3 linked regions of the Drosophila melanogaster genome follow. The protein of the gene in region 1 interacts with the protein of each later gene in a pairwise test. Each region holds a gene or a part of one and is shown in the gene's direction. Other genes may lie near its edges.

The links.
Region 2: the proteins of CG8773 (region 1) and Osi9 interact in a two-hybrid assay, tested with the Drosophila melanogaster proteins (one large-scale study listed by BioGRID).
Region 3: the proteins of CG8773 (region 1) and Ugt49B1 interact in a two-hybrid assay, tested with the Drosophila melanogaster proteins (one large-scale study listed by BioGRID).

What each region holds. Positions count from the first base shown.
Region 1 is NT_033777.3:13,292,816-13,303,000, forward strand, and holds CG8773 (uncharacterized protein), read left to right. Parts: upstream 1-1,932; 5' UTR 1,933-1,974; coding exon 1,975-3,283; intron 3,284-3,354; coding exon 3,355-3,452; intron 3,453-3,511; coding exon 3,512-3,829; intron 3,830-3,893; coding exon 3,894-4,012; intron 4,013-4,077; coding exon 4,078-4,163; intron 4,164-4,242; coding exon 4,243-4,648; intron 4,649-4,706; coding exon 4,707-5,355; 3' UTR 5,356-5,473; downstream 5,474-10,185. Other genes in the region: wntD (wnt inhibitor of dorsal), read right to left, coding at 1-323; CG8774 (uncharacterized protein), read left to right, coding at 6,199-6,387, 6,446-6,801, 6,936-7,080, 7,135-7,668, 7,731-8,659, 8,741-9,416.
Region 2 is NT_033777.3:6,256,589-6,264,045, forward strand, and holds Osi9 (osiris 9), read left to right. Parts: upstream 1-3,622; 5' UTR 3,623-3,824; coding exon 3,825-3,959; intron 3,960-4,021; coding exon 4,022-4,277; intron 4,278-4,750; coding exon 4,751-5,061; 3' UTR 5,062-5,517; downstream 5,518-7,457. Other genes in the region: Osi10a (osiris 10a), read left to right, coding at 7,388-7,457.
Region 3 is NT_033778.4:21,210,940-21,218,402, reverse strand, and holds Ugt49B1 (UDP-glycosyltransferase family 49 member B1), read left to right. Parts: upstream 1-3,430; 5' UTR 3,431-3,497; coding exon 3,498-3,500; intron 3,501-3,717; coding exon 3,718-3,976; intron 3,977-4,031; coding exon 4,032-4,697; intron 4,698-4,764; coding exon 4,765-5,435; 3' UTR 5,436-5,523; downstream 5,524-7,463. Other genes in the region: Ugt49C1 (UDP-glycosyltransferase family 49 member C1), read left to right, coding at 1,064-1,166, 1,229-1,387, 1,436-1,897, 1,954-2,432, 2,495-2,884; CG44245 (uncharacterized protein), read right to left, coding at 5,790-5,857, 5,925-7,179.

The sequences.
Region 1 (10,185 bases):
GCGATTACTCCATTGGCACAGTCCTTGGTCAGAGTATGGACTATGGCTGCCATGGAAATGGCCGCCACATAGACATCCTCCCGATTTGGTGAGTTTTCCTCCGGCTTGGAATTCTTCTGCACGAAATCCTGGCTCGGACAGTTCCATCGCTGCCACTGGAAACTCTGTTGGCAGCTGTCGAGGGCCTGTTTCAGCCCCTTGCCGGTTATATCCTCCCAGGAGAGTGGTGCCTGGAACTGGGTGTACTGGTAGTAGCTCATGGGCTCCAAAACTGCTGCCAGAGTGCTCGTAATACCCATGAAGAATGTGATGGCAAAAATCATGTTGTCTGTTTATATTGTTGTTATGGTGCTATCTCTGCGATGTCGTTAGATCGACTGAATGATGATGAACCGGGTCAGCACACTTATATAGCCTGCAAATCCCAAGCCAGGGCGCCCTCCTGGGGCCGGCCCGTGGGAATTTCGGGCCTGCTCAAAAAACCGGAAATTTGCCGTTTTCCACTTGGAAATTTTGCATGGGCAGGGGGTAGGAACTCCCGGCAATGGACGGGTACAAAAACCCACTGGCAGCCCGAGACGCAATTGCGGAGCAGCCCAGTTTCCTGGTTGACTACCTGCTCTCGTCCTGCGCCGGCGGAGGTGAAGGATCCGCCTTGCTGCGAGCAAGTTTCCCACGCTTAGGCAGGTAGAGCCGTAAACGGCACCCGACGTGCTCATGAATGAAGCCCAGTCGAGTCCATTCAATACGGCCGGATTTTCCCGGACTCACACTGCACAACATCAATGCCCGATACGGGGACGGGTTTGTTTGGGTTTTGGACTGGTCAAGCCAATTATATAACAAAACATATGACCAACAGTATATACACGTATAATCTGGGAAATTAATTGTCCTTTGTGGTGAGCCGGCGGGAACTGCCAGTATTGTTGCTATATTATTTAAAAGTTAATACCCAGGATTATGGTGTTAAGCACCATTAGGAACAGATATCCAGATATTGGTAACGGATTTTTTTGGGATTTTTTTCAGATGAAAATTTGTGCATGCCTAAAAACAATACCTCAGAAATGATAAGAGTTAAGCAATATTAGCTACAGCATTTAATTATAGTACTCGAAAATAAAAGGTAAACACTTATATTCAGTTTCATTTGACCATGAATATAATCTCTTTAAAATAATGGCTTGTTGTCACTTCAAAGATAATGCAATTAGTAAAAGTTAAACATCTGATTATTGACCATCAAAAATGCGATACAAAGGGCTTATAATCATCAAGTGGCCATACTTGTGTTGTAAATACATCTATAATATTTTTTATGGGAAACTTCCCCTTTACAGAACACATCTCACAAAGCCAAAGTCATTATAAAGTACTTCAGTTCCAGGCGTTGCGAAAACGTGTGCGGAAATTTCGATGTTTGGGTTTTAACACAATGAAAATACCGATTCTCTAATTAGGTCGAAAGTCCTGTCTGCGTAGCACCGGAAAAGGGTTTTTTAGGACCTAAGCGCCGGGTAAAACAGAAACAGAGAAGGATAGCGGGATCACGTAGGATCGCAGGTAGTAAAAAAATTGCTCAATTGGTGTTCGTGAGCCTGAGTACAATCACACATATGGGCCTTGACACTGGAAGTTCCTCGGGGCTCAGCAACCAGCTTGGAATTCCGACTTGACGAGGAAAAACGCGCCAGATCTTTGGCATTTCTAAGTTTAATCAAAGCGCCATGACAGGGTCCATAAATTCGGGCGATTGTCAGCCGCACCGGCACTCGTTCCCTACATATGTTCCGGCTAATACCCAAAAAGCAGCTCATCGACTCGCGATTAGATTAGCAATCTGCAAACGCAGTCAGTCAATTAAGATATAGGGGCCCACTTGAGATTCCCCCACTACATAACCTGTCGCTATTTTACCAAGGAGAACGCTTAGTTGCGCTTTGGACTCCGCTCGTGCCGGATTAACGTGCTATGATTGTCACCGCGAAGTTGGTGGCCATTGGGCTGGGCCTCGCGCTCACGGCCTTCACCGTATCGACCATTGTCCTGGCCGTCCAGAAGGCGAATCTTAAGAGTGATTTGCGCGATGCCCAGGAGAAGTTGGATCTCCTGGAAGCGGGATATACGAGCACAGCTGCTCCGACAACAGCGAGTACTGCGAATCCTGGAAGCACAGCTTCTCCAGGAAGCACAGCTGAGCCGGGAAGCACAGCTGAACCCGGAAGCACAGCTGAGCCCGGAAGCACAGCTTCTCCAGGAAGCACTGTGACACCTGGTTCCACTGCTTCAACAAGTGAACCCGGCACTACTGCATCCCCCGAAAAAATCGACTACCGACTGCCCGGAACTCTGAAGCCCACCCACTATGATCTCTATCTGTTTCCCAACATCGAAACTGGTGAATTCAGTGGACAGGAGACGATTACTATTACAGTTGAAGAGGCCACCGACCAGATCGTCCTGCACTCCCTCAACCTAAACATTTCGAGTGTATCCATAATGAATACTGGCAGTGATACTTTGGAGATCCTGGAGACAACAGTAGATGCTGTGAGGGAATTTTTAATATTCCAGCTGAACGAACCACTGACAAAAGGTAGGACAGTAAGGCTGCACATTGGATTCGAAGGATCGATGGCCAACAAGATTGTGGGACTGTACAGTTCGTCGTATGTGAAGGAGGATGAGACCCGCAAGTGGATCGCCACCTCCAAGTTCGAACCCACCTACGCTCGCCAGGCTTTTCCCTGCTTTGATGAGCCAGCATTGAAGGCCGAGTTCACCATTACTCTAGTGCATCCTTCTGGGGAGGATTACCATGCCCTGTCCAACATGAACGTGGACTCGAGTGTCAGCCAGGGAGCCTTCCAGGAGGTCACGTTTGCAAAAAGTGTTCCCATGAGCACTTACTTGGCCTGCTTTATTGTCTCCGACTTCGCCTACAAGCAGGTGAGCATTGACACTAAGGGCATTGGAGAAACCTTCTCCATGAGTGTCTACGCCACTCCGGAGCAACTCGACAAAGTGGATCTGGCTGTGACCATTGGCAAGGGAGTCATCGAGTACTACATTGACTACTTCCAAATCGCTTATCCGCTGCCCAAACTCGATATGGCTGCTATTCCCGACTTCGTCTCGGGCGCCATGGAGCACTGGGGATTGGTCACCTACAGGGAAACATCGCTTTTGTACGACGAAGCCACGAGTTCCGCCACCAACAAGCAGCGCATCGCCAGCGTAATTGCCCACGAATTCGCTCACATGTGGTTTGGAAACTTGGGTAAGCTAAATGGCGGTTTGCATAGATCGGAATTCGTATTCTTAACCGTAACTCCAATTATCTTCCATAAGTAACCATGAACTGGTGGAACGATCTGTGGCTAAACGAAGGATTTGCTAGTTTCGTTGAGTACTTGGGCGTAGATGCCGTCTATCCAGAATGGAAAATGGCAAGTGCACCTAGGTTAATTAAGGTTACATCCAACTTATTTACATATCATATCAATAGCGCGATCAATTCACGGTGAGCACTTTGCACAGCGTACTCACCTTGGACGGAACCCTCGGATCCCACCCGATAATCCAGACCGTGGAAAATCCGGACCAGATCACGGAGATTTTCGATACCATCACGTACTCCAAGGGTTCCTCTCTCGTCCGAATGCTGGAGGATTTCCTGGGGGAGACAACCTTCCGCCAGGCGGTTACCAATTATTTAAATGAGTACAAGTACTCCACGGCGGAAACGGGTAACTTCTTTACAGAGATCGACAAACTGGAATTGGGATACAATGTCACAGAGATTATGCTAACATGGACGGTGCAGGTAAACACATAGACGTTTACTTCTAAGTTCGCGAATATTTCAACACCCCATTCCTTTTTTGCAGATGGGTCTGCCAGTGGTCACGATCGAAAAGGTGTCCGATACGGAATACAAATTGACGCAGAAGCGCTTCTTGTCCAATCCAAACGACTATGACGCCGATCACGAGCCCTCGGAATTCAAGTGAGTGTGCAGAACTTATTGCCTGGACGCTATCTGATCGCGAATTTCGCACATACATTATATAGCTACCGTTGGTCGATCCCCATCACATATTTCACCAGCTCGGATTCGGTGGTGCAGCGTCTGTGGTTTTATCATGACCAGAGCGAAAGTAAGTGGTGTCGTCTGTATGCTGGAGCACGGCTCCCCAGATCTTTGATCTCTAACTTGTTATATATTTTGTTTGACAGTCACTGTAACTGTTCCCGCTGCCGTCGAGTGGATTAAGTTTAACGCCGATCAGGTGGGCTATTATCGCGTTAATTACGATACCGATCTGTGGAATGATCTGGCCGATCAGTTGGTGGTACAACCAAGTGCATTCGGCTCTGTGGATCGCGCTCATCTCCTCAACGATGCTTTTGCCCTGGCCGATTCCACTCAGTTGCCCTATGCAACGGCCTTCGAGTTGACCAGATACTTGGACAAGGAGACCGATTATGTTCCCTGGAGTGTGGCTGCTTCCCGTCTGACTTCGCTTAAGAGAACACTCTACTACACCAGCACCTATGCCAAGTACAAGAAGTACGCCACAGCTTTGATTGAGCCCATCTATACCGCACTCACCTGGACAGTCGGCGAGGATCATTTGGATAAGTGGGTAGATTCTTTAAGAGATGTGTGTATTTTTTATATCATTCCCCTGCATCTCTAGCCGCCTTCGTGTCACTGCTTTGAGTGCCGCCTGTTCTCTGGGTCTGGAATCCTGTCTCACTGAAGCCGGAGAGCAGTTCAACGCATGGCTGGCCAAGCCGGAGGATCGTCCAAAGGCCGATGTCCGTGAAACTGTCTACTACTACGGAATACAGTCCGTTGGAAGCCAGGAGGATTGGGATGCAGTCTGGGAGCTGTTCGTCAACGAATCCGATGCCAGCGAGAAGTCCAAACTGATGTATGGCCTGTCTGCCATCCAGATTCCCTGGATTTTGCAGCGCTACATTGACCTGGCGTGGAACGAGGAATACGTGAGGGGTCAGGACTACTTCACCTGCCTTACCTACATCTCTGCGAATCCAGTTGGTGAGTCCCTGGTTTGGGACTATGTCCGGGAGAACTGGCAGCGACTGGTGGACCGATTCGGACTCAACGAGCGTTATTTGGGCAACCTGATTCCCTCGATCACTGCCCGCTTTAGCACCCAAACCAAGCTGGAGGAGATGGAGCAATTCTTCGCCAAATATCCGGAAGCTGGAGCCGGCACAGCTGCCCGGGTGAGAGCTCTGGAAACGGTTAAGAACAACATTGTTTGGCTGGCCGAGAACCTGGAGGGTGTGGACGCCTGGCTGGACAAGCAGCCACTGTAAAAAGTCCAAGGAAGTGGTCTTGCGACCATGGTTACCATTAAACATGTACTCATCTAATTGCCATTATAAAGCAAAAATTTGCCGAACAAGTGGAAATAAAGATAAGCTTAGTTATTGGAAAAACTGAAATTACACCTCCATAAATAAGCAATTATCCATTGGACTGATTGGTAACATGGGTTGATAATCAAGTTTGGGTGGGTGCCACTATTGGACACGAAAACTTTTGATTGACATTTATTGCACGTCCAAATTTTCGCACTAAATTTGACATCCAATGGAAATTTACTTCATATATGATAAACCCCCATTAATTGATTGAAATATAATTTTATAGTTTTATTGTTACGCCTTTTAAATTATCTAAAGTCATTTAAAACTAAAATATTTACCAAATTGAGCAATATACGCAGACTTTTAATCTTTAATAGTTCTATTAAGCAATGAATATGTAAAATAAAAATCTTTTTTCTATTTTTCTCAGTGATGTGGAGAGAATCTAATTAATATGGCTAATTACCAATAGCACAGATTTGCGTTAGGGAAAGAGTAAAAGTGGCTTAAATGATGTTATTAAACCCATAGCACAATTATGGTGTCATAAGCCACGCGAATTCATACCCTACCGCTCCGTATTTTCCCACTTTCTCTGGCTTTAACCCTATCGCCCATTTGACCGTAATCGCGTCAATTTGGCCAATCACTATCGCAATCGCCGAAGCGAACATAAACCATTTCCAGTGCACACACTATCAACTAATCGAATATTGGGCAACAAGTGGTAAGAGTTGGTTCGAATGACCTAACGCTAGTTAGTCGCTCGCGACAGGTGCGATTGCTAAGATGTTCCTCAGTGGCTATTGGTTGCAGGTGGTGCTCTCCTGGGCGGTGGTGGCCTTTGCCACGGCCACGGTTGTGGTGGCGGTGCAGAAGGCTCAGCTGGAAAGGGACCTCCGCGATGTGCAGGACAAGATCGATGTGTTCGAGGAGTGGAGCGGAGAGAGCCGCACTCGCATGAAGCGTGAAGATACGGTGTGTAATCACTTGCTAATCAGTTGAATCCATTTACTACCATAATCTAACCCTGAAGACGGATTACCGCCTGCCCACGAATCTGGTGCCCACGCACTACGAGCTCTACTGGCATCCGGATCTGGAGACAGGAAACTTCACCGGACAACAGAGGATCAGCATCAAGGTGGTGGAGGCCACTAATCAGATTATTCTGCACTCATATCTCCTGGATATCACAAGTGTCTATGTGCTGAATAGAGAGGTGGAAAAGTTTGAGCTTGAGGAGGAACGTCAGTTCCTGATCATAACTTTGACGGAAGAGCTGGCGGTGGACGCCAGCATTACTCTCGGAATCATTTTTGGTGGACAGATGAAGGATAAGCTTGTGGGTCTCTACAGCAGTACATATCTAAACGAGGCAGGAGCTACCAGGTATTTCGGATATTTTTACGTTATGCCCAAAAGTATGCAATGTGTTCTTATGACCAGATCTGGATTTGTTGTTTTGTTTTGAATTTTTATTTGAATACTTTTTCAATATATAAATTAATATTTTCCTTATGCAGAACCATTTCTACGACGAAATTCGAACCCACTTACGCGCGTCAGGCCTTCCCATGCTTCGATGAACCAGCCATGAAGGCCACATTCGCCATTACAGTGGTTCATCCATCGGGATCCTACCACGCCGTTTCCAACATGCAACAAACGGTGAGCTCAAGTAAACAAACAATTTAAATGGGTTAAACAAAATTTAAATAATAGGAATCCAATTATCTGGGTGACTATACTGAGGCCATCTTCGAGACGAGTGTGTCGATGAGCACCTACCTGGTATGCATCATTGTGTCCGACTTCGCTTCCCAATCGACCACGGTGAAGGCCAACGGAATTGGCGAGGACTTCTCCATGCAAGCCTATGCCACCTCGCATCAGATCAACAAGGTCGAGTTTGCTCTGGAGTTCGGACAAGCTGTCACGGAGTACTATATTCAGTACTATAAGGTGCCCTATCCGCTGACCAAACTGGACATGGCCGCCATTCCCGACTTTGCATCTGGGGCCATGGAGCACTGGGGATTGGTGACTTACAGAGAGACCGCTCTGCTGTACGATCCCAGTTACAGTTCCACAGCGAACAAACAATCGATAGCCGGAACACTGGCCCATGAGATTGCACACCAGTGGTTCGGAAACCTGGTCACCATGAAGTGGTGGAACGATCTGTGGCTGAACGAGGGATTCGCCCGCTACATGCAGTACAAGGGAGTCAATGCTGTGCACCCGGACTGGGGAATGGTAAGGAAATGGATAATACCGATTTGAATCCTCAAAGAAAATATCTTATATTTACCAATCAGCTGGAGCAATTCCAAATCGTGGCCCTGCAACCCGTGTTGTTATACGATGCCAAGCTATCATCCCATCCGATTGTCCAGAAGGTAGAAAGCCCCGATGAAATTACGGCCATATTCGACACCATCAGTTACGAAAAGGGAGGATCCGTGATCCGCATGCTGGAGACACTTGTGGGCGCCGAAAAGTTTGAGGAGGCGGTGACCAATTACCTGGTCAAGCATCAGTTCAATAACACGGTGACCGACGATTTCCTCACCGAAGTCGAAGCTGTGGTAACTGACTTGGATATCAAGAAACTGATGCTCACCTGGACCGAACAGATGGGTTATCCGGTGTTGAATGTCTCCAAGGTTGCAGATGGTAGTTTTAAGGTTACCCAGCAGCGATTCCTCTCCAATCCAGCCAGTTACGAGGAAGCCCCTTCAGATAGCGCATACGGATACAAATGGAGTGTTCCGATTACCTGGTTTGCTGATGATGGTTCAGAGAACAGCTTCATATACGACTACGATGTGGACTCTGTGGGTATTGCCGTGCCCAGCGAGGTGCAGTGGATCAAGTTGAATGTCAACCAAACGGGCTACTATCGGGTTAACTACGAGGAGAGCCTGTGGGCCCTGCTCATCCAGCAGCTAACCACCAGTCCCGCTCGATTCGAAATCGCCGATCGTGGCCATCTTTTGAACGATGCCTTCGCCCTGGCGGATGCCAACCAACTATCCTACAAAATTCCTCTGGATATGACCGCTTACTTGGCCCAGGAGCGCGACTTCGTGCCCTGGTATGTGGCCTCCAATAAGCTGAGGTCGCTCCATCGCAGTCTCATGTTCAGCGAGGGATACGTGTCGTACCTCACCTATGCCAGAAGTCTGATCGCTGGCGTATACGAGGAGGTGGGTTGGACTGTGGACGCCGACAATCACTTGAAGAAGTACGTATATAAGTACCAACTTGTTTTTCTGAAAACATTACTCAAACTACTGTTATTCAAACAATCTTTATTCCTTTGCAGCCGCCTGCGTGTTTCCATTTTGACCGCCGCCTGTGCCCTGGGTGTTCCAGATTGTCTGCAGCAGGCTTCCGAGCGCTTCAGCACCTTCCTGGAGAATCCGACCACTCGACCTTCCCCCGATCTTCGCGAGATTGTCTACTACTACGGCATGCAGCAGTCCACCAGCCAATCGAGCTGGGATCAGTTGTTCCAACTCTTTGTGGCCGAAACCGATGCCAGCGAGAAACTGAAGCTGATGTACGGATTGTCTGGCGTACGGAACAGCCAGTATCTGTTCGACTTCCTGGCACAGGCCTCCAGTGATGAGAGCATCGTTCGCTCCCAGGACTATTTCACCTGTGTGCAGTACATAGCCGCCAATCCTGTGGGTGAACCGGTGGTCTGGGAATTCTACCGCGAACAGTGGCCCCAACTCACCACCCGTTTTGGCCTGAACAACCGCAACTTTGGACGACTTATCGCCCAGATTACGGCCAACTTTGCCAGCTCCGTGAAACTGGAGGAGGTTCAGCACTTCTTCTCCAAGTACCCCGAATCGGGAGCTGGAGCTAACTCCCGGTTGGAGGCCGTGGAAACCATCAAGTACAACATCGAATGGCTATCCAGAAACGAAGCTGACATCACCGACTGGCTAAGTGGAACGGCCTCGCCGCTGACCAAGAAAAACCAATTGTAAAATTGTATATTGTATATAAACTGGCCATTTAGCCAATAATTAGAGTTGCATAAGCGAAAATTCCGTTCGAGTTCAATAAAATGAAATTTCAAAATCAAACCATAAATACAACCCCCATATTTTCATTCATTTTATCCGAGGCAAGTGGGGATTTCTATAGCTTCTAGGAAATAATTGGAGATAGGGTCTTTGAGTATATGGTCAATGCGGAATCATGACCATGCGTAATTATCCTGAGTAATTAGAGTGTCCAGTCATAATAGTCGATATATGGCCTTGTTCGAATCGTAAAAGTAATGGTCTAGCATAAAACGATTTTATCTGGACACGAAGCTATATAGTATATAGTCTAGATATCGGTCAGCAATCTGATCAGGTTTATCAAGTCCAAATTGTGGGGTCAGATTCGCAACTTGCATTCAGTTTCCAATTTGGCTTCCAGCCTAGTGGAAGCAGTCGAGTAATTTTCATCGAAAAAAGAATATCCCTAAAAATGGTTGCCTGTGAGTCTTCTATATAGAGTAGCATATCCCGAAGGAACAGTAACTAATGTGAACTCATTTTAGGGCTGACGGTTAAGTCAGTGGCCATCTTTTTGGGCCTGGCCTCTACTGCTTTTTGTGTGGCCACGATTGTGCTGGCCGTTCAGAATGCGGACCTGGAGAACGATCTGCAGGATGCCCTCGATAAGATCGACGCATTGACGGTGGACACCACGTCCACGTCCTCCACCTCTACCAGCACTTCCACGACCACCACCACTGCAAAT
Region 2 (7,457 bases), 7.0 Mb from region 1:
AATTCTGCTACCCGAAATTCGCATGAAGATGAGTTTTTTATGGTTTCGTGGCCGCTCCCCAAACATGAATTTATGATGACAATTAAGTTTCATTGAAACGGGCTTACGTGCGTGCCAAAAATGGCTGACGAAGCTGCTTCGCTTTCTACCAAACTCAATGTCAGATGTACGATATAAGGTTGCAACAGCAGTTGATTTTCGATTGGATTTTATATGTAAGTATACCTAAAAAGAAATTAACTAAGTAAATATTAATAAATAAATGTACTTTTAAAGACTTATAACAATTTTCTTTAGACACTATTCTTCGCTTCTCTATTATTGGACAAATATGTTTTGTTTGCTAACATTGGTGAAAGATGATTAACATATTTGAATACGTAGTTTTCCACTTGGATTCCTTCAAATAATTTCCCTGTAAATTCCACAATGCAAAGTTGACTTAAACTGCACATGCAGTTTTCTGTTTTCTGTTGGCCTGCATTTGCTGAATGCAATATTCATAGATAGAAAATTGCGCGCCACTTTCCTGGCTTCTTGGCTCATATGTTTTCCCTCCCTGTCCATTGTTGTGGCTACCTTTTTTGGTATGCGACAATTTCACTTTTGGGCCACTACACGAAATATTAATGAGCTGCTGCCGCTCAGTGTAGAACATTGAACCTGGCCAACGACGTTCCCAAGCCCCTCGCTCACTTATTCAGTTTGTTAGTTGTGGGCGCCCTTTGCTGGCGCACCACTGACGTCATGGGGGGACTTTCATTAATTGAAAATTACCCAAGCGCACCAGAGGCAGAGGCATGTAAACAGCGCCGGGCTGCAAACTAGAGCCGGAGCTGAGCTGGGCTGAACGGAGCTGCCTTAACCCGGAATTCCATTCCAGCCAAGCGGAATGAAAGTGAAACTTTGAAAAGGTGTCAATTTTGGAGATGCCACTGAAAAGGTTTGGGGCGGCTAAGCGGGTGGGGCCGCAATTGAGGATTGTTTGCTTTGAATGTGCGATGCTTTAAGGCGGTTTTATCTCTAGAGCGAATATTTCGCATGCTTATTTGGGTCAGCCAGCGAAATGGCCAACTATGAACGAAGGAGCCATCAGAAGATAGCTTGCGAATTAATTGAGCGCACTCTATTGAAATGACTGGGCTAAACTGAAATATTAATACAACTAGTTGTATTAATATGAAATAAACTGCAATTACTAATACGTTTTAAGAGTATTTAAGAGCTTTTCTCCTCAATAAAACCATAACTTAAATTTTAATGTTGTTTCTATATTGCATCACTCAATGTTTAAAGTGGCGCAGTTGAAGTTGTATAAGATGTTAGCAATTAAATTACTTTTTCACTTTCGTTGCGCACGCACAATGCTAATAACTTGCATCATATTGACTCTTTAACACTCTAACTGGGACACAAAAGACGTACTTCACTGGGTTAAATATTTTGATAATTTTTATGTATATTATAAATATTAAGTGTGAAAGACAGAATAAACAATTTTTTCCATATTTCTCCAATTAGCTTGTGTGTAATAATGTAAGAAATAAACTATTAAATGGTTGTTTTCAGTCCGAAGCTTATGAAATATAAAAAAAATATATATTAAAGGTTTTCTATCAAAGATTTTTCATGTAAAGATAAATATTTAGAAGCATATTTATGCATATTATATCACGTTATTATTATCATTATAGATAAATCTAAAGGATGGACTGAATTTGAAAAGGGCCATTGCAGAAAGGGCATTAGATGAGACACATCACACATCGTGACAGTGGCTGGCATATCCAAATCCAAATCTACATCCACATCCATCCATATGTTCACGTGCACGGCATTTACATATTCCATCAACGGATTTTGGGCTCATGTTGCCGCTTTGGATAATCGTCTGCGAAATGTCGAGTGGCTTTGCATCTAGATGCGAGCTGTGTGTTTTGTGTCTGTGAGGTTGTTTTCGGCAGCATGCAAATTTGCGGCGTAGCTTTCTTTCGGGGCACTTGCTCGTCTAATGCGTGAATTACCGGCTAACGATGAGCGATGGACGCTGGACGATGGACGATGGACGATGGACGGCGGAGCGATGGGGCGGCAGGCAGACGTGTGGCAATTTTTGAGTGCTGCAAATTAAAGCGACATAATGCCAATGAAACTCTAGTGCGACAGTCGCTGTGCATCCGTCGACGGCGATCGGATTGGCATACAAAAGTGCAGATACATTATGCGAGATGCCCGCTGGGGGCACAAACAAACACATAAATAAAAAGCAAAATTAAAGTGAAATTTCCTCCACCGTGCCGCGGCAGCGCCAGCAAACTAGTTAATTTTCTATTTTACTCCAATTCGAGTTGCGGTTGCTTTCGACCATCGCCGGCCATCTTAAATGGCGCTCTTGATTAACCACCCACCGCCCACTCCCGCCGGACTACCACTCGTGTGTGTGTGTGTGCGGTCTGTGTGTAGGCAACTGCAATTTGAAATGAAACCGCTGCTGCCGGCACTTTCTGCTGCACTCGAGATTTACACAGTGCTGAAAGTGTGCCATCATCAGGTGGCGCCTCAAAGGTGCATCAAATACGTTAGCCACGTATTACAGCTTGTTACATTTTACCTGGGTCTGCTGTGTAATCAAATAGTCCAGAACTAAATAACAACTCACAGTCCTTCAACCAAATAAATATGCAAAAGATTTGTAAAAAGTGGAAATACAGGCAAGCGTCTAGTTGGGAAACAAGCGGCTTTCAAGAGCGTATTCTCCCTTTTGCAGTGAGTTAGAAACCTCACATGATTTCAAAGGTGTTGCAAACGTATTGTGTGCAAAAACACAACATAAAAGTAAATATGTAATGGAAAATTCTGTTTATTTTGAGCCTTTTAGCTAAGCTGATCCCAGTTGGAAGGGTTAATTAAATTGAATTTAAGCTGCCAGTTATAATAGCATATGCCGTATTCTAACTCTGCAGTGACCTGCAAAGAAAAATCGCTCCTTTTAAAATGTATTTTGAAAAGCTGGCTGACTTAATCCAGGTAAGGTACAGTTGCACCCTTGTTTACGAAAAGTATTGTTCTAAGCATTACCACATAGGATTAAGATTCTTATAATTCCAAATTTTATTCTTATAAATTTAATTCACAAAGCTTTCCCTTAAAGCGACACGTAATGCAAGAAAAATCAATATTTAAGGGCTGGCCGATCTGTCTATTGGCCCCCTGAACAATTGGCCTTCTCCTTGTGGCAGGCAAACAGCTAACTGCCGCCGAAGTGTGTTGACAAACAACAACTGCCAATCCGACGAACTCTGCCAGCGTAAACGGCGACCGCGCCACCGCGTCCACTTCGGCGCACCTGTCCAGTTGTCGCTGCAGCGCCTTGTATGGCCGGCCACCAAGACTGTGCGACTCCGAGTGCGACTTCGGCTGCAACCTGGCCAGGTTCGTGGTCGGGTTGTTTATTTAAATTCTAAGCTCGGCTACTGTGTGCGATGGGCCAAGCGGGGCAGTCGGGGGGCTCAGACCACTTGCGGAGCGCTAAAGCGTCAACGTTGTCGTTGTCGTCGCTGCTGGCCAACGCTGCCGCCGCTCTGCTGGCCGGGAATAAAACTCGATCCGCGTGCGTCTTCTAGCCACAGTTTACCGGTTGCCTTCTGACCGACAGATCGAACACGCCAATCGAGCGCAGTGCACTCAATCAAGTGAACACACACACACGCATCCCCGAATCGCCAGGAAGTGGCAGGATATCAAATCAGCGCAGCAGTGTCGAGTGTTTGTGCGAAGCATTCAAAAAAAAAATAATACAAAAAAGGAAATACCCATCACGAGCCATGTTCAAGTTCGTGTGCCTTTTTGCGCTGATTGCCTCCACGGCGGCGGCTACCTCGGAAGCGGACAGCTTGCTGACCAGCGCTTTGAAGATGGTCAAGGACTGTGGCGAACGGTCCATGGTCTTGTGCATGAAGGTAAAGCATTTAGTTGCCAGTAGCCCGAGAGAAACCTATCCTAATTCATGATCCACCCAAAGGAGCGAGCCCTGCACTACTTCGATGCCGAGAACGGGGATGTGCGGCTCACCGAGGGCATTGCCCTGGTCAAGACCGATGAGATCCCGGTGGGTCGATCCCTCAACGAGATGCAACTGCCCGAGGAGGTTGAGGCCCGGGAGGCCGAGGTGGACTCCCTGCTGGTGGAGCGCGTTGCCCGCTTCTTCGGCACCCACACGCTGCAGTTCAAGGTGCCCAAAGACTCCATCCAGGACATGCAGCGCGCCCTCGAGGAATGTGAGTATCTGGCTAGTACCCATCGAATCCCACATAAATTACAGTTCTGGTCTGGCCAAGACATTGCCTATTTGGGTTACTAATGCAAGCGACCAGTTCGGGCAGATGGCTCTGGCACAAATCCTGTTTTCACTGTTAAGTCTCCGCCATATCGAGGTCATCCTGTGATGCAGCCAGATGCCCACATAGGCACATGGCCACATGGCCACATAGCGGTGCATTGGCAGCTGGTTATCCAGATAGTTGGCTATTAATTGCACTTTAGTCAGGCAGTTAGCAAGGCTTACTTTCTTTTTGTGCGCAGCGGCTGCAATTTCCGATTTCCAATTTCTATGCGCAGCCACATAGAAAGCGGTCGATCCTGTTCGCTTGCTAATTATCTGTGCTCCAGTTGCTAATGAGCGGACAGCTCCGCTCCAGCGAAAGTAATGCAAATCATATAACTAACTACCAAATCGTTTCTCCCCCTGCAGCTCGCGGCAAGAAGAAGGAGAAGAAGAAGTACCTGATGCCCCTGCTAATGCTCTTCAAGCTGAAGATGGCCGCCCTGCTGCCCCTGGCCATTGGCTTCCTGGCCCTGATCTCCTTCAAGGCCCTGGTCATCGGCAAGATCGCCCTGCTGCTCTCCGGCATCATTGGGCTGAAGAAACTGCTCGAGTCGAAGAAGGAGAACTACGAGGTCGTTGCGCACCCGCACTACGAGCACGAGCACAGCTACGGCCGCTCGCTGCCATCTGATGACTCCCAGGCCCAGCAGCTGGCCTATGCGGCGTATAAGCAATAAGCTGCATGCCAAATATTCTGAATGCTGAATGCTGAGGCAACCGTAATCAGTGCAATACTCGGAGGGCCGTCTAATTTATCTATTTATTTAATTTATTTGTATAGCATAGTTCATGCCAGGCTTACACACTTAAGGCGCCATCAAGAGAAATAGAAGGAAAGGTAAATCCCGAACCCACACAAATAGGTCTAAGGAATCAGCAGCTAGGGACTGCCGCCAGAGGGGAACACCTGGCGTCGTTTAATCTATTCTTAAAAATGACTGCCACTGTCGTATTAATACTCAGAGCTTTATTATTTAAAACTCTACGCTTAACTTAACTTAACTCAACTGAACTCTTAACCAAACTATTAAACTAAACTGCCTAACTCTGAACTGCCGCTAGGCGCAGAAAAAGCCCCCCTGGCCAAGCCCTCCCCCACACAAAACAATAAAAGAAATGCCGCATTTATTCCGAACATGTGTATTGCTGTCTTACTGTTTCAATCGAATATCGCTCATACGCAGCGAATTGCTTTCACTCTTTCACCGGCTAAGGCGAACTAGGCCAGCAATATCAATTGCATGGGCGACACACAAAATCACGGAGCAAGATCGCCGGATTTCACTTGAGCCAGCTAGTCAGCCAGTCAGCCAGGCGTAAAGCGCAGCAGAAGCCTCTTCCTCGGTCTCGGTCAGTTATATATAAACACATATGTATATCCAATGTCGCTCCAGAAACTGGCTCACATCTCGGCATCTCGGGAAAATCTAATGAATGTTGCGACCTGCTTTTTTGTTTTTTTTTTTTTTTTTTCGCACACGCAGTGCAACACGTACGCCCCAAACAAATTAGGTGTGTGGATGAGAGCATGGATTCCAGTTCCAGCTGGGAGCACGCCCCGCGGCTGCAATTTATGGCCGTGGCCTGGCATCGCCATTCGGCATATAAATGGCCAAAGCCGACAAAACCCAAGGCTCAAAATGGCCAAAAGGCCAGGCCGCCGCCTCGTACGTCTTTTATTTTTTGTTGCTAACTATTTGTAAACAACTGCAGGCAACTGGCAGTGAATTTCAAGTATTGGCGGTGAAAGTGTTTATTAATACAATTTCTTTTCTGTCGCTGCGCTTTGCAATAGGAAATTTATTAGCTGTCGGCCATTGCCCGCGACCTGGCAATAAAAGAAAACAAACTTTTGTAAAATTACCAAAGTTTTCGGCGACAACCGCACAGGCTAAACCGTAATTCCAATGCCAAAAATCCTTAAAATTGGCCTCGAATGATCGAATAACTTGGGAGGAGTCTAAACTTCTCGAAACTTTATCTTCTCGCCTGTCTACTCAGTTTTGTCAGGGGAATTGGGGTGTTCTTGAGTTCGCCAAAGGTCTTGGGGTGCTAAGTTATCAGAGACTTTCATAGGGGGATATTCAAATTTCTCCCACAGCATTGACTAGGAAAATACTCACCTGTTTTTGCTGGTATTGCAGTCAAGTCTCTCTTGACGTGCTGGCATCACCAAACCAAAGTCTTAACTCTTACTGGCTTCGCCTAAAAGTTTGCTAGGACTTAACTCTCGAACTCAGGGGATTATTCCACTGATTTGTATGCCGTTTAGCTTCATTGTGAAACTGGTTATTATGGTAAAGGAAACGTACATCTTTGTTCTACAAGTAATAATGTAACGTTCTGAAACTTTTTCGATGTTTAAAAAATACATGTAAATAATATTAAAACGAGAATAGTTATGGAACTAAAAAATGTATCATTATAAACCTTTTTGGGTTCGGGTTTTCCTTAACACCCAAACCAAGTTGATTTCCCAAACGTAAATCGGTTTCCCTCCTTTCCGCTTGTTTGTTTTCTTAATTGACTTGTGGCAATTTTCAAGTTTTTCTCTGTAAACGATTGAACATTACTGGTAATTCCCTAAGCGACTCCGTTCATTTAATGGACCGGCATTAGCAATGGTAATTGTAAATATTCCGCGTGGTCCGAGCGGTGGCGCCTCCAAGTATTTCATAATTCCTGTGGAAATACAATAACTGCTTGCATAATGGGGGAGATGTGCGAAAAATTGGCCACCAGTCGCTGCAGCTTTGGGTCGTGTGCACTGACCATGACCATGCCGGCTTAAATAAGAAGCGGCCCAAGACGAAGAGCCCCTGGTTGGCGTTGATGTACAACAATTTCCGTTATTGGGCCATGTGCAAAAAACAGCGCGTTAACTGAATGAGAGCAGATTTAGCCAAAAGACCAGTCGGTTATTGTATAACAAGATTTGGCGGATATAAAACAGAAGGGTCAGTTGGCCAGCGGGCTCAGTTGAGATCAAAACACTCGACCATTATGTCGCCACTGGATATCGTTTTGCTCCTGGTCAGTTTCCATCAAGTGATTGGCAGTGACTTTTCCGCCA
Region 3 (7,463 bases), on another chromosome or scaffold:
GAAAAAGTTCTGATTGCAATTTGCAGCCAGGAAAATGGAAAATTGAAAATTAGAAATTTAAAATTTAAAATTTCTCAAAGGCCGCACACACACACACACTCTGTGTGTGTGTGTTTCATCAACGGATAGCTGAAGGAGCTGAAGTTTGTTAATTGCATATATCAAGTTAGTACTTAAACTTTAATTGAACTCGAACAAAGTTCACGCTAATCGAAAGGCAACATTTTAACACTTATAACAAAACTCGCAAACGCACACACACACACACACACATACACAAGCAGAATACATAACGAATCGAATGTGATTTTTGTATAAAGACGAGAATAATTTAAACAATTTGTATCGAATATGAAAATGTAAATTACATTAGGCGTGGAGATTCGTTGACAAGTAATCGCATTATAGGCTAAATGTTATAATTTAACTTAATCTAATTACATATAATATACCGATTGCTTAATACCTAGCATTTAAGGACCAAACAACACACACATTGACATGCAAATACGTTTGAAAGATGAAAATAAAACGATTAAGAAAGCTTAAATTGCTACGTGCTTTTGACTTTTATTATACTACTCGGAAATATATTGGGTTTTCTCGGAACCCCGAGCTCGAGTTCAGTATTCATTCGGAGGTTCAATAGTTGGCTTCGCCTTCGCCATCTCATCGGTAGGCAAGTGGAAAGCTTTTCGAGCACGCGATCATCAATTAAATTGACTCTTTATATCAGCAACCCTATTAAAAGTAAACAATTTGTATTTCACAAATGCTTGAAATCTTTATGGAACATAGATTAGCTGCTGATGACCAGCATTTTTTATTTTCATTTATTCATTTGATAATTTTGTTTCTGTAATAAAGTCAAACTTGTTTACAAAACAAGAACTTTGCGCACCTTTAATCTATCTTTTGATATTAAGCTACAAACTTCAGAATCTCAAACTTACAAAATCTATTAACAGATTATTACGGACAAACAAAAGAAGTCAAGCCAGTATTAAACAAAAACAAAATCAATATTTGGCAAAAAATAAGAATTATAGTATAGCTGCTCAGTATGCAGTTTCCATTATTATTTGGCCTCCTTCTGACTGGAACATTATATTCCCAGTTGGAATTGGCCGAAGGATCAAAAATCCTGGCTGTGTATGCCTTTCCGGGTAAAGTATTTTAAGATATGTACAAAGCCAACTTATGGCTTATGTTGTGGAAAATATTTTAGGAAAATCACATTTTATGATGCACACTGCTTTGATAAGGGAACTTGTCGAAAGTGGTCATCAGGTGACCATGGTAACAGCTTTTAGTCTGGAGAAAGAGCAACTTGGCAGCAACTACACGGAGATCTTGATAGAACCGGTCTACGATTTCTGGCACGATGGTGAGTGGAGCTTGATTTAATGATCATCATATTTACGTTTGGAACCAGTTAAGCTGAACTTTGGAGCCCAACACCTATTCGAGCTGACCCGCATGACCAACTATGATTTCCTCAAAATGCTGGAGATTATCGGCCTCAAGACCACCGAACATGCCCTGCGGCAGCCCAAGGTTCGGTCTCTCATTCATGCCGAGCAAAAGGAAGGAGTCTTCGATCTTCTCCTGGCCGAGCAGTTCTATCAGGAGGCCTTCTTGGCACTGGCTCATCTGTACAAAATACCCGTGGTGACCACGAGCACTTTGGGCTATGAGAATCACATGAGTCAGATGATGGGTCTGATTACACCTTGGTCCTTTGTACCACACGGTTTTATGCCCTTCACCGATCGCATGAGTTTCCTGGAGAGGGTGAAGAACTCCTATGCATCCTTCTACGAAGACATGGACAGGCTGCTAAACTATTTTCCGAAAATGGATGCGGTGGCCAGGGAGTTCTTTGGACCCGTACTGAGTGAGTTACGGTAATGGTTTATCTGAGAACATACACCTGAGTACAGTGTTTTCCAGCCGAGGTGCCCAAGGTCAAGCACATGGAGCGTCAAATCTCAGTGATGCTACTAAACAGTCACGCACCGCTGACCACGGCACGTCCCACAGTGGACGCCATGGTGCCAGTGGGCGGGATGCACATCTATCCACCCAAACCGCTGCCGGCTGACATGCAAGCCCTCTTGGATGGCGCCACCGAGGGGGCCATCTTCTTCAGCCTGGGCAGCAATGTCCAGAGCAAGGACATGCCCGTGGAAATGCTGCGATTGTTCCTGCAGGTATTCGGTTCGCTCAAGCAGCGGGTATTGTGGAAATTCGAGGATGAGAGCATTAGCCAATTGCCAGATAACGTGATGGTCAGGAAGTGGCTGCCACAGGCCGACATTCTGGCCCATCGTCATGTGAAGGTATTCATTACCCACGGTGGCTTATTTGGCACCCAGGAGGGAGTGCATTATGCTGTGCCCATGCTGGGTATACCCTTCTACTGTGATCAGGTATTTGTATATTTCACTAATTATATAAATAACTGCTTCTATAGGAATATATTATGTTGCAGCACCTTAATATGAACAAAGCGGTTTTGGGCGGATATGCCATTAGTCTGCACTTCCAATCGATTACCGAGGAAATCCTGCGGCACTCCTTGGACCAACTTATCCATAATGTGACCTACAAAGAGAACGTTCAGAGGGTATCGGATATTTTCCGCGATCGTCCGCTGGAGCCGCGAAAAAGTGCCGTCTATTGGATCGAATATGTCATCCGGCATCGAGGTGCTTCACATATGAGATCCGCAGGCCTGGATCTCAACTGGTTCCAATTCTATTTGCTGGATGTCATAGCATTTGTGGCTATCATTGCTTTAGCTGGCGTCATGGCTCTCTCATTGGCCATTCGATTACTGATGGGCAGTAATAAGAAACACAGGAAAGCTAAGCAAAATTAAAGTATTTTAAGGGTTTATTTAAACAAATTACTTTAAAAATGTTTGAGAAATACAATATCTTCAATAAAATCTTAATATATTAGTATATGTTTCTGTCTATATCTTCTATTTCGCATCGAAAAGTCAAACGATTTACTAGTTTCGTTGAAAAGTATCTAACAGGTAGAAAAAACGATATTATCTGATAGTCGAGGATTGTCTCTCTTGCTAATGATATGGATAAAGATAGTTTGAAAACTTACGTACCTAGACAACCAGCAAATAGATTACCCAAAACAACGAATACGACCTTAAGAAAGAATAACTTTCTATTATCCGCAAGAAATCTAACGTTTCCATGATGATAAGGGATATTTTGTAGAGCACGCTGATGAAGTGCCCCGTTTTGATAATAAAGAGCTCTCTCGTTTTTTTCGCACGAACCTCACATTTGCTATTCTCTAGGGTTCTAAAAGCGTACATAAACATATACATAAACATTATATGTATATAAACATATAAAGCCGATCTACAGAGAGGCCCAAACGAAACGATCTATCTGAACGCATTCGCAGTCGTTCGAGAGCGGTCCACTGAGTCGGTTGCTGGTTGCTACTAGTGTCGTTTAATCAAAATGGTATGTTGATATGTTGTAAATAAGCTTTTGAAGCTCTCGTTTATGTATAAATTAAATTAAAGGAAAAGCTTTGAAATCGTAATAGACGCAAGTTCCGAAACTTAAACTAAAGTTACCTGTTATCGCCGAATACTATTTGAGTTCAAATGAAGGACTGTTTCATGCTGCATTTAAGCTTCAATTTAGATAATGATTATAAATATTTTGCATTTTACAGTCTTTGAAAAGTGCTCTGCACATATTTCTCCTAAGTCTGGTTGCTCTTCAGCAACTAGAGTTGGGTACCGGTTCCCGCATCTTGGCAGCATTCTTTTTTCCTGGCAAGAGTCACTTCATGATGACCAATGCCATCATACGGGAGCTGGTGAAGCAAGGACATGAGGTTACTTTTATTACTCCGTTTTCCTTGGCCAAGGAAAAACTTGGATCAAATTATAAGGAAATTGTGATTCCTCAATACGATTTTTGGCCAGAAAGTGAGTATGGTTGCTAATTGATAAAACATGTATTAACTTAATCACTTGCACATAGTTAAGGAGATGACCAATAAGAACACCGTTTTGGAAATGACAGATTTGCCAACTTTTGCATTCCTGCGAATGGTCAATGTGATGGGTATCCACACCACGGATTTCGCACTGGAACAACCGGAGATTCAGGCAGTAATCAATGAGAAGAACAAAATTGGCAAATACGATCTGCTGCTGGCGGAGCAGTTCTTCAACGAGGGTGCCCTCATCCTGGGACACTTGTACCAGATCCCAACCATAACTATTTCGACATTTGGTAATGCCAACCACCTTAGTCAGCTATTTGGGGTAGTGTCTCCTTGGTCATATGTACCACACGCTTATATGCCCTATACGGATCGCATGACTTTGTGGGAACGCATCGGCAATGTGGCCATGAGTGCAGCCGAGGATCTCGTCAGAGAGTTCTCCTACTACCCCGGTCAGGATGCGGTCTTAAAGAAGCACTTCTCCAAGCTACTCGACAGAGTACCGACCATCAAAGAACTCGAACGTAATATCTCAGCCATTCTGTTGAACAGCTACATGCCACTGGCATCTTCGAGACCGATGGCATATAATATGATCCCAGTGGGCGGTTTGCACATTCAACCACCGAAGGCACTACCGGAGCATCTACAAAAATTCCTGGACGGAGCCACACATGGTGCCATTTACTTTAGCTTGGGTGAGTGTCCTTAACCCTGCGACTTTAAATCTAAAAACACTAATGACTTCATCTATTTTTCGCATAGGTTCCCAGGTGAGAAGTGCCGACTTGCCGCCTGAGAAGCTCAAAGTATTCCTGGAAGTCTTTGGCAGTCTGAAGCAACGCGTTCTCTGGAAATTCGAAGATGAATCTCTGCCCAATTTGCCGGCTAACGTTAAGGTGCAAAGTTGGTTACCTCAGGGCGACATTCTGGCGCACCCGAATGTCAAGGTTTTCATTGCCCATGGAGGACTCTTCGGCACCCAGGAGGCGGTGTACAATGGTGTTCCCATATTGGGAATGCCAGTCTACTGTGATCAGCATCAGAACATTAACCAGGGTAAGAGTGCAGAATATGCACTGGGACTGGATTACCGGAAAGTCACGGTGGAGGAGTTGCGAGGTCTGCTGATGGAACTGATTGAGAATCCAAAGTATAGGAATAACATTAAGAAGGCCTCCCGGATATTCCGCGATCGACCACTCGGTGCCATGGATACGGCCATATATTGGATCAACTATGTGATCGAGCACCGAGGTGCTCCTCATCTGGTGGCCGCTGGTGTACATCTACCCTGGTACCAGTTCTACCTACTGGACATTGTGGGTCTAGGTCTCGCTGTGATCCTGTTGCCAATCGTAGTTCTAATCCTGATCTGCCGCAGGAGCTCCAAGCCGAAGAGCACTCCGACGAAGAAGAAGACCAAGAAGAATTAGAACCAAAACTTGAGTTTTATTTTGTTGTTAACAAAAGAGGCTACAATTATGTTAGATAGTTTCTTGTAATAAATTTTGGATAATTTCGTAATACATTTCTAGGGCACTAGACAGCTGGTAATTGATAACAAAGCTAACGAGTAGCGTGCAAAGACCGCCAGCAACTAACTGAACTGGATGCTGAAATAGGTCAGGAGAATTAGCTTGGGATCGGGATCTTCGCAGGGCCTTTCTTCTCTATTTTCCGGCCATTTCATAAGCTTGTTTTTTTTTTCGTGTGTATTCTTGTGCCTTGTGTGTTGTGTGAGTGTCGTGTGTGTTTGAGTGTGTTTCGGTGTGGGCAAGCGGCGATCTCTACTGGCTAATGACCATGGACTTCTTTACCTTCTTCTCCTTCCTCTCATGAGTGATGGTCACTTCCTCTGCGAAAAAAAAGAAAATGGGTTAATATAACCTAGCTGCGGATGAAGTGGACTGGCTTATCCTCACCCTCGAACTTGCTGGGCAGCTGCTTGACGGTCTCGATAGTCTTGACGTTCTTCTCGCCGGGCTCGATGATCTCCTCCTCGTACTCCTCGATAATCTCCTCCTCGTCGGTGTCATCGGGATTGGACTTCTGGCTGGGCACTGGATCGTAAACGGTCTTCACGGCCTTCTTCACGATGCCTTCGGATGTCACGGTGGTGTAGTGGTACTCGGTGCCACCTTCGATCTTAATGGTCTCCACGGTGGTCACATCTCCGGGATTTTCGGAAGGAACGATCTTCTTGGTACCCGACTCGGACTTGAGCTTCTTGGTGGTGGAGACGTTCTTGTGCTTCTCGGCGTCCTTCAGGGTCTTCTTGTACTGGCGGATCTCCTCCTCGGTGAGTTCCACCTCCTCCTCCTCGTAGACAGTCTTCGAGGTGGTGATGGTCTTGCCAGAATCCAGCTGCGTGGAATAGGTGTACTCCACACCGCCGGGCACACGCTTCGAGGCCACAGAGGTGGTATCGTTCTGGAAGAAATCAGCGGGTGGTGGTGGAGCCGATGACTTGGGCTTCTTCTTCTGCTTCTTGTCGCTGGACGAGGTGTTCGAGGTGGTAGTGATAGCCTTGACGTTCTGCTCCTGCAGCGAGTTCTTGCGCACGGTGCGATTGTTCTCGGTGATCTCGATGTTCTGAGTCACCGACACCCTGCGCTCTGATGTCGTGGTGGAGTTGGTCTGCTCATCATAGTTCTGCACCAGATTCTTCTGCTGCTTCTGGACGATGCGACGGGAGGATTCCGTGGAATCGGTAGAGTCCACCGACGACTTCCTGGTCACGTTCTTCTTGTTCTTGTTCAACTTGGCGGCCGTCTTCTCATCCACCTCGGTTGGAACGGAGTCGTAGAAGGTTTTGGTGCGAGAGCTGCGAGTTCCATCCTCGTTGATGGTGGTGTACACCTCCTCGTAGCCACCCTCGATGGCGCGGGTCAGCATGGTGGTGCGCTCATCGATGCGAATCTCCTTGCCCAGACGCTTCTGGACCAGCTTCTTGTTCTCCTGCTCCTTCTTCAGATCCTCCTCGCTAACGGGCTTGGGATCCCAGAAGGTTCGCACCTGGGTCTTGATGGTTCCATTGGGCTGCGGAGAGGTGGTGATCACCTCGTAGCCACCCTCGATCACCTTGTACGTGGTGGTGGCACCCGTGGCCTTGTCGAACTCCACCTTACCGTCTTCGATGTCCGCGGAGGTCAGTAGCTCTGTGGTGTGTGGATGCATGTGTGTATAGTATATATGGCATATAAGGCGATATCATCCCAAGCTCCTGAGTGTGTGTTTGCATCTAGGGTTATCCAAAGCACTTGCGGCTTACATCTAGTATTAGCTCTTGTCTTACACTATATGCTAAGTTTAAGATATTGCATGTGTTTCCTTTGTAAGGCAGCGTGGTATTTGGGTAAACCAAGGGACCCTTAGACGATATCAAAAAAGTCGTGGAGCTATATGGCCTCAAGAAATATAACCTACTATGCATTTTAAAAGAGTTTTCTCTTTTAAACATT